2 linked regions of the Arabidopsis thaliana genome follow. The protein of the gene in region 1 purifies or fractionates together with the protein of each later gene. This does not show direct contact. Each region holds a gene or a part of one and is shown on either strand. Other genes may lie near its edges.

What was found.
Region 2: the proteins of EFR (region 1) and RBOHD purify together in Arabidopsis thaliana (affinity purification with western blotting; one study listed by BioGRID). This does not show direct contact.

Annotation. Positions count from the first base shown.
Region 1 is NC_003076.8:6,919,667-6,926,483, forward strand, and holds EFR (EF-TU receptor), read left to right. Parts: upstream 1-1,842; 5' UTR 1,843-2,830; coding exon 2,831-5,531; intron 5,532-5,618; coding exon 5,619-6,013; 3' UTR 6,014-6,235; downstream 6,236-6,817. Other genes in the region: HDK (myosin), read right to left, coding at 1-63, 161-454.
Region 2 is NC_003076.8:19,395,378-19,402,803, forward strand, and holds RBOHD (respiratory burst oxidase homologue D), read left to right. Parts: upstream 1-1,663; 5' UTR 1,664-2,207; coding exon 2,208-2,835; intron 2,836-2,927; coding exon 2,928-3,090; intron 3,091-3,283; coding exon 3,284-3,332; intron 3,333-3,677; coding exon 3,678-3,791; intron 3,792-4,232; coding exon 4,233-5,042; intron 5,043-5,140; coding exon 5,141-5,236; intron 5,237-5,383; coding exon 5,384-6,179; intron 6,180-6,281; coding exon 6,282-6,391; 3' UTR 6,392-6,684; downstream 6,685-7,426. UniProt on the Arabidopsis thaliana protein: Calcium-dependent NADPH oxidase that generates superoxide.

The sequences.
Region 1 (6,817 bases):
TTCCTCAACACGCTTTTCAAGTTTGTCTTTCGCCTCTCTAAGGGCTCCTGTGTCTCGTGCGGCCTGATTCAGTTAGTTGTAAAGGTAAGAAACCTGATTCGTCTTATGAAGTTGTGAAAATTTAGCAGAACAGTTTTACTAAACCAAAAAAAGACTGAACCATCTTAAGTGACATATTCAAATATTCATTGAACCTTTGTACCGATTCCTGAAGCTGATCTAATTTTCTGGTAACAGTTTCAAGCTCTGTTGCCAGCTCCAAATTTCTAGCCTCTGCCTCTGATAAAGCTTTTCTCAAGTCTTTTGCTGCTTCTTGTTCAGAATGAAGCCAAGTCTGTATAAACATCAAACAAAAGAAAAAAATTAAGATTTGAATAAAGTCAAACACGATATAAAGGCACAACCGAAATTCAGGTTTTGGTTCCCGTACAAGTAGAACCATGTCCTGATGCATATCTAGACGATTAAGTAATTGAGCATGTAAAAGCAGAAAAGACAAACAAGGTTTCTCTCAAGGATACAACTTTTATATAAACTCTCCCTCACGTTCGATGGAGTTCATTTTCTTAACGGTTGCGACTTGAGAGATTCTTTTTCTTATACAGTTTCGTTATTAGTGTATATTAATTATTTTTAAGTGCATTACTTAATTAATCTATTTCAATAGAGAATTTCCCACTTGGCCTCTAAACTTACAAAGTCTTTATCTAATTGGTCACTGTCTCAAGCGAAACCGTTGATTATTTCTCTTTAAGTGAATGAAATCATTGACCTTAGGTCAGTAGGAAAAATATATCCGCAAGTTGATGATTATACAATTAATTAACATTTCCAAAAATCTCTGATCTGTCTTTGATCCGTAGTGAACCGTAAAGATTTAACCTTCATTCCACTCATTGGTGAACAAATCAAATACTTTTGTTGAACCGATGATTATTCTCATAGTTACTTTCTAATATCAGTTTATTTGTAAAATTACATACTTTTGAACATCAATTGGTTTGTGGGTTAAACAATTGATGGAAAACAATGAGGATGCTTGGACAGAGTTAAGTCAAGTTGGGAAGATCCAAAAAAAGAGTGGAAAGTTAAGGAACTGTAGTACTCAAACAAAAAACTAAGTGGACTAATGATGAAAAGAGACTCTAAAATTCATTTCCAAAGCTGTAGGTGTTCAATGTTCACCTCATGGAAAACATAATGATCTAAGGGACGGATTTGACTGAGTAAATACCGGACAGAGTTCTCTTGTTAGTTTTTCTAAGGTCATTTCTGCTTTTCACGAATGACCTGAACAGAGAGCCAAAACAATGTAAGCTTATAAGTATTGGGAACATAAAAAGATTGGCATAGCATCAACTAAGAATCATACCAGAAAAGCAACAGCCTGCCTGATATGGTCCAACTTATCCCAAGCTAAGCCAGCATACTGTAAGAGATTTAAACCGTAAGGTCATTTTTTCGGGTGAAAATGTCGAATAGGCAAAGGCGTGTGACGAGAACTTGTGGCTTACTTCATCGGTAGCTTCTACACACCATTTTTTTTAGTTCAGCCTGACCTGCTTTAACGTGGTCCCCATTTCTTGGTGTGCAAGATTCACGACATTGAAGAAAACTGCACAAGTTTATTACAGAGAAATCTTTACGTCAAAATTGGATTGAGAGATACTAAAATAAGTAATTACTAGTGAGCATGCCTGTTGAGAAGATGAAGATTGATGAAGGCAAATATTTGTGTGAATACTTTTCTGACTAAGAATGGTGGAACCTGCATCATGTAAACATAGAATATAATCACAATTTTTATTTTGAGAAGCCATTAGAATTGAACAATGCATGGGTTTTTGTTTATTCAAAGATGGGATTTTATTAAGATTGACTATATCATACAAAGGCTTAAACAAAAGCCCTAACTTTAGATTTACAAAAGCCCAAGAAAGGCCCATCAAATAACTAACTTTTGCAGAAGCAAATCTATCTGAACTTCATCCATGGATACGTTTCCAACAATACATGGGCTTGTCACTTATAATCGTGGCTTGTGTCTTCAAATTATAAGGTCACATAACAAAACTACATGCAGTCTATTGTTTTTCTCCTTCGTCGACGAACTACTTTTGCCGTTTAATAGATCATAAACACCACACATTTCTACCGTCACAGTGACAACACTTCCCAATTATTCTGATTATGGCGCAGGGGATTCGCCGGAAGATCCAATCTGTGCTGATTTTGCAAGAATCGATGGGCTTCCTCAAATTATCGGGCGCTTTTTACGACACTGCAATTGATCGAAACCTTCGCAAAAAATCGTAAAGTAAAAATCCTCTTTTTATTTTTATTTAAGACCCTTTAGTAGTTTATCAACAAGTAAAGATTGCATTTTTTTTGGTACATGTAATTTGTTTCAGAATTTATAAACAAGAATTTCTATCAATGTCTTTGAATTAACTTTGATAAATTCAAACTTTCTGATGGATGGTTGTCAATACAAGTTTCAGAAGAAGATTGAAACCAAAATGACTAGACAAGACGTTTGGTGTATGTCGACCAATGTGTTCTGTTTTGGGTAGCACTTTGCCTTAACTCTGTTTACACACACACGTTTATGTGTTTTGACTGTTGAAAAAAAAACGAAAGATATTTCAAAAGTCTACGCAGTACACAATTTGTTTGTTTGTGACCATTTGCAATGATTTTGGACCGCATTTAATTGCCCCACGACTGTAATGGGGATCACAGTTTGGATTTTGCTTCTTGTTTACCTTAAACTTCCTTTCATTTTAATGTTGAAGCAGAAGAACCTTTCTTTTATCTTTTTATAATCGACATGAAGCTGTCCTTTTCACTTGTTTTCAATGCTCTCACGTTGCTTCTTCAAGTTTGCATCTTTGCTCAAGCCAGGTTTTCTAATGAGACTGATATGCAAGCTTTGCTTGAGTTCAAGTCTCAAGTTTCTGAAAACAACAAGAGAGAGGTCTTGGCTTCATGGAATCACTCCTCCCCATTTTGTAATTGGATTGGAGTCACATGTGGCCGCAGGAGAGAAAGAGTTATAAGTTTGAACCTTGGAGGATTCAAGTTAACCGGTGTGATCTCACCCTCCATTGGTAATCTCTCCTTTCTTAGATTACTTAATCTTGCAGACAACTCTTTTGGAAGTACCATCCCTCAAAAGGTGGGAAGGCTATTTAGGCTTCAGTACTTGAACATGAGCTATAATCTTCTCGAAGGAAGGATTCCGTCTAGTCTTTCTAACTGCTCTAGACTGTCGACCGTTGATTTATCGTCAAACCATCTTGGACATGGTGTTCCTTCAGAACTAGGTTCACTTTCTAAGCTTGCCATTCTGGATCTTAGCAAAAACAACCTTACTGGAAATTTTCCTGCATCTTTAGGAAACTTGACGTCACTTCAGAAGCTTGACTTTGCATATAACCAGATGAGAGGTGAGATTCCAGACGAAGTAGCTAGATTGACTCAAATGGTGTTTTTCCAAATAGCACTGAATAGTTTTTCAGGTGGTTTTCCTCCTGCATTGTACAACATCTCCTCTCTTGAGTCTCTATCTCTAGCTGACAATAGCTTTTCGGGTAATCTTAGGGCTGATTTTGGTTATCTTCTACCAAATCTAAGAAGACTTCTTTTGGGAACAAATCAGTTCACTGGAGCTATTCCCAAAACACTTGCCAATATCTCAAGCCTTGAAAGGTTTGATATCTCATCTAATTACCTGTCTGGTAGTATCCCTTTGAGCTTTGGAAAGTTACGTAATCTGTGGTGGTTAGGGATTCGTAATAACTCTCTTGGAAATAACTCGTCCAGTGGTCTTGAATTTATTGGGGCTGTGGCGAACTGCACTCAATTAGAGTACTTAGATGTTGGTTACAATAGACTTGGAGGTGAGCTTCCTGCTTCTATAGCCAATCTGTCCACTACATTGACTAGTCTGTTCCTTGGACAAAATCTTATCTCTGGAACCATTCCTCATGACATCGGGAATCTTGTAAGCCTGCAAGAACTCAGCTTAGAAACAAATATGTTGAGTGGAGAACTTCCCGTCTCTTTCGGGAAGCTTTTGAACTTGCAGGTTGTGGATCTGTATTCAAATGCAATATCGGGGGAAATACCATCTTATTTTGGCAACATGACTCGGTTGCAGAAGCTCCATTTGAATAGCAATAGTTTCCACGGAAGAATCCCTCAGAGTCTTGGACGTTGTCGATACTTGCTAGACCTGTGGATGGATACAAATAGGTTGAATGGGACTATACCTCAGGAAATACTGCAAATTCCATCCCTCGCTTACATAGATTTGTCAAACAATTTCTTGACAGGCCATTTTCCAGAAGAAGTTGGAAAGTTAGAACTTCTTGTTGGACTAGGTGCTTCGTACAACAAATTATCAGGAAAGATGCCACAAGCTATAGGGGGTTGTCTTTCGATGGAATTTCTCTTTATGCAAGGAAATTCGTTTGACGGAGCCATTCCAGATATAAGCCGGTTGGTAAGCCTAAAGAATGTTGACTTCTCCAACAACAATCTCTCTGGCCGGATACCTCGATATCTGGCCAGTCTTCCTTCGCTGCGAAATCTGAATCTTTCTATGAACAAGTTTGAGGGAAGGGTGCCAACAACAGGAGTGTTTCGAAATGCTACAGCAGTTTCTGTTTTTGGTAACACAAATATTTGCGGAGGCGTCCGAGAAATGCAACTAAAGCCATGCATTGTACAGGCATCTCCAAGGAAGAGAAAGCCTCTGTCAGTTAGAAAGAAAGTTGTCAGTGGTATTTGTATAGGTATAGCTTCGCTTTTGTTAATCATAATTGTGGCTTCTCTGTGTTGGTTCATGAAGAGGAAAAAGAAAAACAATGCCAGTGATGGTAACCCATCTGATTCTACTACTTTGGGGATGTTCCATGAGAAGGTAAGTTATGAAGAGCTTCATAGTGCAACAAGTCGCTTCTCTTCAACCAATTTGATTGGTTCAGGCAATTTCGGTAATGTGTTTAAAGGATTGCTTGGCCCTGAGAATAAACTCGTCGCGGTTAAAGTTTTGAACCTCCTAAAGCATGGAGCGACGAAAAGCTTTATGGCGGAATGTGAAACCTTCAAGGGTATACGACATCGTAACCTTGTAAAACTGATAACGGTTTGTTCAAGCCTTGATTCCGAGGGAAATGATTTCAGAGCTCTGGTCTATGAGTTCATGCCAAAAGGAAGTCTGGATATGTGGCTGCAGCTAGAAGATCTGGAAAGGGTAAACGATCACTCGAGATCTTTAACACCCGCAGAGAAACTCAACATAGCAATAGATGTGGCTTCAGCTTTGGAGTATCTGCACGTTCATTGTCATGACCCTGTAGCTCACTGTGATATTAAGCCAAGCAACATTCTTCTAGACGATGATCTGACTGCTCATGTTAGTGACTTTGGTTTGGCTCAGCTCCTCTATAAATACGATCGAGAATCCTTTCTAAACCAGTTTAGTTCTGCTGGTGTCAGAGGCACCATTGGCTATGCCGCGCCAGGTTAATAAACATCTATATGCAAAAAGTATTGTTTAACAAAAGAGTTATCCAACCTCATTGTGTGTTGTTTCTTTGAAATATGTGCAGAGTATGGAATGGGAGGCCAACCATCAATACAAGGAGATGTGTACAGCTTCGGAATTCTACTTTTGGAGATGTTTAGTGGAAAGAAACCAACAGATGAATCATTTGCAGGCGATTATAACCTCCACAGCTACACAAAGTCTATATTATCGGGTTGCACGAGCAGTGGAGGCAGCAACGCCATTGATGAGGGGTTGAGACTGGTTTTGCAGGTGGGGATAAAGTGTTCTGAAGAATATCCGAGGGATAGGATGAGAACGGATGAAGCAGTACGAGAATTAATCTCAATAAGATCTAAGTTCTTCAGTTCCAAGACGACTATTACAGAGAGTCCTCGAGATGCTCCGCAAAGTTCTCCTCAGGAATGGATGTTAAATACGGACATGCATACTATGTAGACCCTTCTCAACTACTTATGGGGACACAGTAAAAGTGTATTTGCGTGTGCATCATCGAAACAGAACAAATGTTGGGAGGAGGAGAGACTACTAGTTATAATAAGAGAATAAATTAAAATCTATCTCTGCTGTAGCCTTTTTTTTTTTGTTGTGGGTGAAAATGATTATGATCACATATATATGGTCGTTGAATATCCTTTTTCATTTCACTTTTGATACACGTTAAAGTTCTCTGTGTCCATAAAGATTGGAGAAACCTTGTTTGAAAATGTTCACTAGTAGCAAAACTTACTTAACAAAATTCACTCATTAGAAGACAAATCACATTAATTAACACCGAGAAAAATGTTATTTTATACCTGAACTTTCAAAAAGTGGCCAAATTAACCGTGAATTTTTGAAATGATCGTTTTATACCTCAACAAAAAGTTGACTTCTAATTTAACCTATAAGTTATCGTTGACCCGGCCAAATCGACTCACCATTAACACTTCTTAACAGCTCTCCTAACAGCGTAACTAACAACTGTTTTTGTCCTTAAACCAACAATAACGGCTGTTAGGCCATGTTTTGTAACGGCTGTTAGGAACGCTGTTAAGGAGTGTTAACGGTGAGTATATTTGGCCGGGTCAACGACAAATTATAGGTCAAATTAGAAGTCAACGATAAATTATAGGTTAAATTAGAAGTCAACTTTTTGTTGAGGTATAAAACGACCATTTCAAAAGTTCACGGTTAATTTGGCCATTTTTTGAAAGTTCAGGTATTAAATAACATTTTTCCCAATTAACATCCATAATGTGA
Region 2 (7,426 bases), about 12 Mb from region 1:
TTGTTACGCCGTTATTAACAGTGATCATTTTTTTCGTTAAAGAAATTTAACATTCAAAAAAGATAAAGAATGATCACCAATAAGCGTCATGATCTTCCGTATGGTGATGATAAACATCGTTTGCAGTTTTGTTGTATAGTACAACGTATATGTAGCCGTAACGTGTGAATAGTGTATGGTTAGGGTCATTTTATTTGTGAACTACCACAATTTTGATAGCAGTGGAGATAAGTCAAAGGTTCGTCTTCTAATTAATTAACAGCGATTATTAGACTATCTAACTTTTCTTCTTTTCTTATTTTGATAATAACTATATATCTTCTTTAGCCACCTTACTTTCTCATCGGGTTCTATTTAAATAGGGACAAAGAAAACAAACCATCGATTTGTACTATGTGCTCAATTATATCATATGTTTTGTCTCCATCTATGTATCTATTTCTCTTTTCCATTTGGTAAATTATTTAAGACCCTTAAACTGACTTTTCTCGTGGGCGGCGTCGAAGTTTTGGTTAACAGACAAAACATCTGTTCATGATGCCTGCATAACTCTATGTTTTTATACTACTCATTTGCCCTCTATTTCATGCTACTCTTAAAAATAGCTAAATAAAAATACTTCAATATTAGAAAAAAAATCTTCTTGATGTCAAAAATACACTTTAGATATCCCCTCTAGTTCTTGTGATGCTAATATATTACAAAATTGTTTATATATATAGAAATATTACCTCTAGCAATACAAAAATCTTGTTATATCAATTAAATATAACACTATCCGACTAGTGTTTACTAAAATAACACATAATTTTTAATTATGATCTTTGAATTTTAGTTTATGTATTACGCTTTATAATTTTGTTATCAAAAACTATAAAAGCTCAAAAGTGAGCATCTATACCCTAATTCCGTTTTTATGCATACACTTAGGTTTATTTTTATTACGAGAATCTGTGTTTAGTATATATAAAATAGAGTTTATGAATGACTAAGTTAAATACTTCAATACTAATTAAAGTAAGTCGTATTGATGCAGACAATATAAACTTTAGATATCTCCGCTAGTTTGTATAATGCTAATAGATTCAAATTGTCTTTATGTAGAGGAATTACCTCAAATAACATAAAATTTTCATTTTATTAATTAAATCTCATTTTGTCATTTCAAAAGTCATTTTAATTACTGTGTTATTTGTCTAAAGTATACTCCAAACAAGAAACCAAAGTAGAAGGTCAGTGCCCAAGAGACAAATAAACTTAAGCATGTCCACTCTTTTTAGCGATCGGATCGCTTATCTGTTCTTATCCATTATGGAACATGAACGATGTTCCTTTAAGACTACCACATTCAAACGAAAAATAAGTCATCGATGATAGACTGGATAGTTATAGTTTGATGATCTAGCTAATTGACTTTCATATTTACATAAAACAGAAATGTGTTTTTATCAAAAAAGAAAAAAGAAAAAACAGAAAATGAACAATACATCTCACATGGAGTTTGTACAAGAATCCATAATAATTTTTTGTTCGGTACAGTAGGTTAGATATACATTTGAATACAGTTTACAAGCCAAATGTTAGAAGCAACATATTTATATAGTATCATCAATATACGATCCAAAATGAATTATAGATTGACTTATGGAAAAGTTAGATACTATATGCATGATTGCCAAATACATTGAAAAATAACAATTTAAGTTCTTCAAACAAAAGTTTATAAATGACTCGGTGTTTGACATAACTCGGGGTTGTTTTTCTTTGTTAATTCACACACGGGGTTGGTGTATAAATGACTTCGGTGTTTGAAATGTATGACACGGTATAAATAAAAAAGGTAAGGAAGAAATGAAGAATAGAAGAAGAACAAAAAAAAAAGGAAATTAAAAAAAAGTCAAAATAAATGGTCAGTAAAGGATTTTGACCAGACCGGAGCGGTCCATCCATAGTTTCCCACTACCTTCCCTGATTTAGCACAGAAGAATGGCAATTTGCATGCCATTTATTTCATCTATTCCTCCTTCACTCTATAAATATATTTTAAACAAAATCAATTTCTTCCATACACAAAAATCAAACACCTTTTGAGAGCGGTTATTTTTTCTCTATCAACTAATACAGTAACCTTACGGGTGTTTATTTGTATAGATCTCTGTGGTTTTCTTGGCCAAATCTAGTGAGATCTTTTTGGTTTCTCGAATTCGATGAAAATGAGACGAGGCAATTCAAGTAACGACCATGAACTTGGGATTCTACGAGGAGCTAACTCGGACACCAACTCGGACACGGAGAGCATCGCTAGCGACCGTGGTGCCTTTAGCGGTCCGCTTGGCCGGCCTAAACGTGCGTCCAAGAAAAACGCAAGATTCGCCGACGATCTTCCCAAGAGAAGCAATAGTGTTGCTGGCGGCCGTGGTGATGACGATGAGTACGTGGAGATCACGCTAGACATCAGGGACGACTCGGTGGCCGTCCATAGTGTCCAACAAGCAGCTGGAGGTGGAGGCCACCTGGAGGACCCGGAGCTAGCCCTTCTTACGAAGAAGACTCTCGAGAGCAGCCTCAACAACACCACCTCCTTATCTTTCTTCCGAAGCACCTCCTCACGCATCAAGAACGCCTCCCGCGAGCTCCGCCGCGTGTTCTCTAGACGTCCCTCCCCGGCCGTGCGGCGGTTTGACCGCACGAGCTCCGCGGCCATCCACGCACTCAAAGGTCTCAAGTTCATTGCCACCAAGACGGCCGCATGGCCGGCCGTCGACCAACGTTTCGATAAACTCTCCGCTGATTCCAACGGCCTCTTACTCTCTGCCAAGTTTTGGGAATGCTTAGGTAAGTAAATCACTTCTTACTAAGCAATTCTATTAGTACTATATGTTTCCATTTTTGTGTTAGTCTCATTTTTGTTTTGTTTTTTACTCTAGGAATGAATAAGGAATCTAAAGACTTCGCTGACCAGCTCTTTAGAGCATTAGCTCGCCGGAATAACGTCTCCGGCGATGCAATCACAAAGGAACAGCTTAGGATATTCTGGGAACAGATCTCAGACGAAAGCTTTGATGCCAAACTCCAAGTCTTTTTTGACATGTAAGCTTTTTTTTACATATCTTCACCTAACCCACAATAAATATATAACGCGTAATCACTATTTGTCGTTTAATATTGACTCTTAATGAAAATTAAACGGTCATCAGAATTTAAGGACCAAAAGTAGTAATATTAATCATTTGTGGAGTTTTGGTGGATTTGTAACTAATATATGACATCACTGTTTGGTCAGGGTGGACAAAGATGAAGATGGGCGAGTAACAGAAGAAGAGGTGGCTGAGGTGAGAAAACACACACACCACTCAATAATTATCTTTTTCAAATATTTTATTATATTTATACATTTTTTTTATCTTATATTTATTCATATTCCTGGTTGAATTTTTTTTCTCTTATTTTATACGTTATTCTTGGTTGATTATTTTGACAATTTTGTCCACGCGCAAATCCCCACTGACTTTATCTGCTGACGTTTACTATTAACATCATCAATATATTAACTTCATGTGAACACGACAAAATGGTAATAGATAGATAGAGTAGTAGTCTTTGTTACTTTAGCTTAGGTTATTAATGTTTCAAATACTTTAGCTTTTGTTTTCTAATTTGTTGGTAATTTATTGCAGATTATTAGTCTTAGTGCTTCTGCAAACAAGCTCTCAAATATTCAAAAGCAAGCCAAAGAATATGCGGCACTGATAATGGAAGAGTTGGACCCAGACAATGCTGGGTTTATTATGGTACGTGTGGTCCACTTTCACCCACTCAATCACACTAATGGTATTATGTACGTCGTAAATTTAACCACTCTTAAAATACTAGAAAAAACGTGGAAAAACATAACGTTCTAGAAGTCTTTAGTGGTCAAAATTGGGTCACCATGATGTTTTTTAATTTCCAACTTATTGGGCCATCTTGAACTTTTTACCAAACCAATCAACAAAATCTCGACAATGGGTGGTTAGTGGTTACGATATGAAGAAATGACCAATAAAATTGTAAAATATATGAACTAACACTATAATCCAAGCTTAGAAAGTCTTAGGCGGCTTCCGATAGTATATTGTTTTTTAATTATTGGAGAAACCTATGAAAAGTGTTTTTAAGAAAAACAGTTTGGAACATTAATGTTTTATTGTAACGTTTTAGTTAATTATATGATATGGACATTGGTGAAACAGATCGAAAACTTGGAAATGTTGCTATTACAAGCACCAAACCAGTCGGTGCGGATGGGAGACAGCAGGATACTTAGTCAGATGTTAAGTCAGAAGCTTAGACCGGCAAAAGAGAGCAACCCTTTAGTGAGATGGTCGGAGAAAATCAAATATTTCATACTTGACAATTGGCAGAGACTATGGATAATGATGTTATGGCTTGGCATCTGTGGTGGCCTCTTTACTTATAAATTCATTCAGTACAAGAACAAAGCTGCCTATGGTGTCATGGGTTATTGCGTTTGTGTCGCCAAAGGAGGCGCCGAGACTCTCAAATTCAACATGGCTCTCATATTGTTGCCTGTTTGTCGAAACACCATCACTTGGCTTAGGAACAAGACTAAGCTTGGTACTGTCGTTCCTTTTGATGATAGTCTTAACTTCCACAAGGTTATTGCAAGCGGGATAGTCGTCGGTGTTTTACTCCATGCGGGTGCCCATTTAACGTGTGATTTTCCACGTTTAATTGCCGCGGATGAGGACACCTATGAGCCGATGGAAAAATACTTTGGGGATCAACCGACTAGCTACTGGTGGTTTGTGAAAGGAGTGGAAGGATGGACTGGCATTGTGATGGTTGTGCTAATGGCTATAGCCTTTACACTCGCGACGCCTTGGTTCCGACGTAACAAGCTTAACTTACCTAACTTCCTCAAGAAGCTTACCGGTTTCAACGCCTTTTGGTACACCCACCATTTGTTCATCATTGTTTATGCTCTTCTCATTGTCCATGGTATCAAGCTCTACCTCACAAAGATTTGGTATCAGAAAACGGTACTCTCTTCAAACCTCATTTTATCTGTTTTAATTTCTTATTTTCTTTCCTTTTTCCGGTTAATAACATTTATTACCTGTTTGTATGATTCTTGTAGACATGGATGTATCTTGCTGTACCCATCCTTCTATATGCATCGGAGAGGCTGCTCCGTGCTTTCAGATCAAGCATCAAACCGGTTAAGATGATCAAGGTCAGATATATTTCTATTTATCTCTTGAAAACCTTATGTTTCAAGAAATATTTCAACTAATACTTTTAAACCATCTTATTTTATAGTTCTTTTTGATAAAAGTTTGAAAATTGCCTTTGAACTTAATCTATATATATGTAACAACAGGTGGCTGTTTACCCCGGGAACGTGTTGTCTCTACACATGACGAAGCCACAAGGATTCAAATACAAAAGTGGACAGTTCATGTTGGTGAACTGCCGAGCCGTATCTCCATTCGAATGGCATCCTTTCTCAATCACATCAGCTCCCGGAGACGATTACCTGAGCGTACATATCCGCACTCTCGGTGACTGGACACGTAAGCTCAGGACCGTTTTCTCCGAGGTTTGCAAACCTCCTACCGCCGGTAAAAGCGGTCTTCTCCGAGCAGACGGAGGAGATGGAAACCTCCCGTTCCCGAAGGTCCTTATCGACGGTCCATACGGTGCTCCCGCACAAGACTACAAGAAATACGACGTGGTACTCCTCGTAGGTCTCGGCATTGGAGCCACGCCTATGATCAGTATCCTTAAGGACATCATCAACAACATGAAAGGTCCTGACCGCGACAGCGACATTGAGAACAATAACAGTAACAACAATAGTAAAGGGTTTAAGACAAGGAAAGCTTATTTCTACTGGGTGACTAGGGAACAAGGATCATTCGAGTGGTTCAAGGGAATAATGGACGAGATTTCGGAGTTAGACGAGGAAGGAATCATCGAGCTTCACAATTATTGCACGAGTGTGTACGAGGAAGGTGATGCAAGAGTGGCTCTCATTGCCATGCTTCAGTCGTTGCAACACGCTAAGAACGGTGTGGATGTTGTGTCGGGTACACGTGTCAAGTCCCACTTCGCTAAACCTAACTGGAGACAAGTCTACAAGAAGATCGCTGTTCAACATCCCGGCAAAAGAATAGGTAACTAATCTCGACCGTTAATCTCGTTATGTACGTGATGTTGTATAATAATTAATAAAGTGATGAATTTAGACTAAATACTAATATGAATTTTGATTGCAGGAGTCTTCTACTGTGGAATGCCAGGAATGATAAAGGAATTAAAAAATCTAGCTTTGGATTTTTCTCGAAAGACAACTACCAAGTTTGACTTCCACAAAGAGAACTTCTAGATTAATTATATACGTTGTAGAAAAATAAAACAAGAAACAACTATACAAATAAATATTTATTTTAAATTCTTTTCATTTTTATGTAAAATTATCTGAGTTATCTTTTTTTGTTCTTCTATATCCCTACCGTTTTGTTGGTTACTTTTTCACTACTTAGTTTAATGCCAAATTAAGTATAAGATAGTAGAAGTTTATATAGTTACAGCTTTGGTGTTGTAAACATGTAATCATGGAGTTATCTGTACTATTATTTTGTACTTATATTCGAATATTAACAACTAAAGATAGTTTTGATATTCAATACCCATTACTCATTTAACATAATGAATAGAGATATCAACATTAGATACGTCTTGATTATTTGCTCACCAATGCATTTGCGTGTTTAACTTGTTTATATGTTATTAATAGTGTTCTTTTAGTTAAAATGACAAATAATTTCTTAACTCAAAAGCATCTTATATCACAACTCTAGCTAGATTAGTTTAGCTTTTCATAAGTCTTCTTGCGTTTACGTCTTTATTTATGGGTTGATACCCTATTCACTACTTTAATTTGCCTTGCACTTGGGATAGTTTAAAAGACTTTAAAATTATGCAGCTAGAATATAATCAAAACTTGATATAAGTATCAAAATAATTAAATACAATTGCTATCGATAATAATCAGAAACAATCGTTATGAATGGTTAAGTTTGTTTCCTTAAAATGGTTACGAATGATTAATTTTGTTCCTTAGGTAAACTAAAAGTTCAAAAACAAATCCAACCTACTACAATCTAAGAAAACTGACAAAGTTTATGGTTGATTACAGAATAGGTCGCTTGAGCGTCAAATTAAGATAAAGAAGGAGACTTATGTAGAGCCGGCCCTTGGGCCAACCAGGCGAAGCATAGGTTTGCAGCTGCTAATAATATAATTTGAGTTTGGCTTTTTTCTAGAAAACTTTCTTTAAGTCTAGTGGTTCAATTATGGTGGGTACATCATCAGTTCATGGGTTTGACTTTTGAGACAAGTGAGACCGAATTTTTTTGTT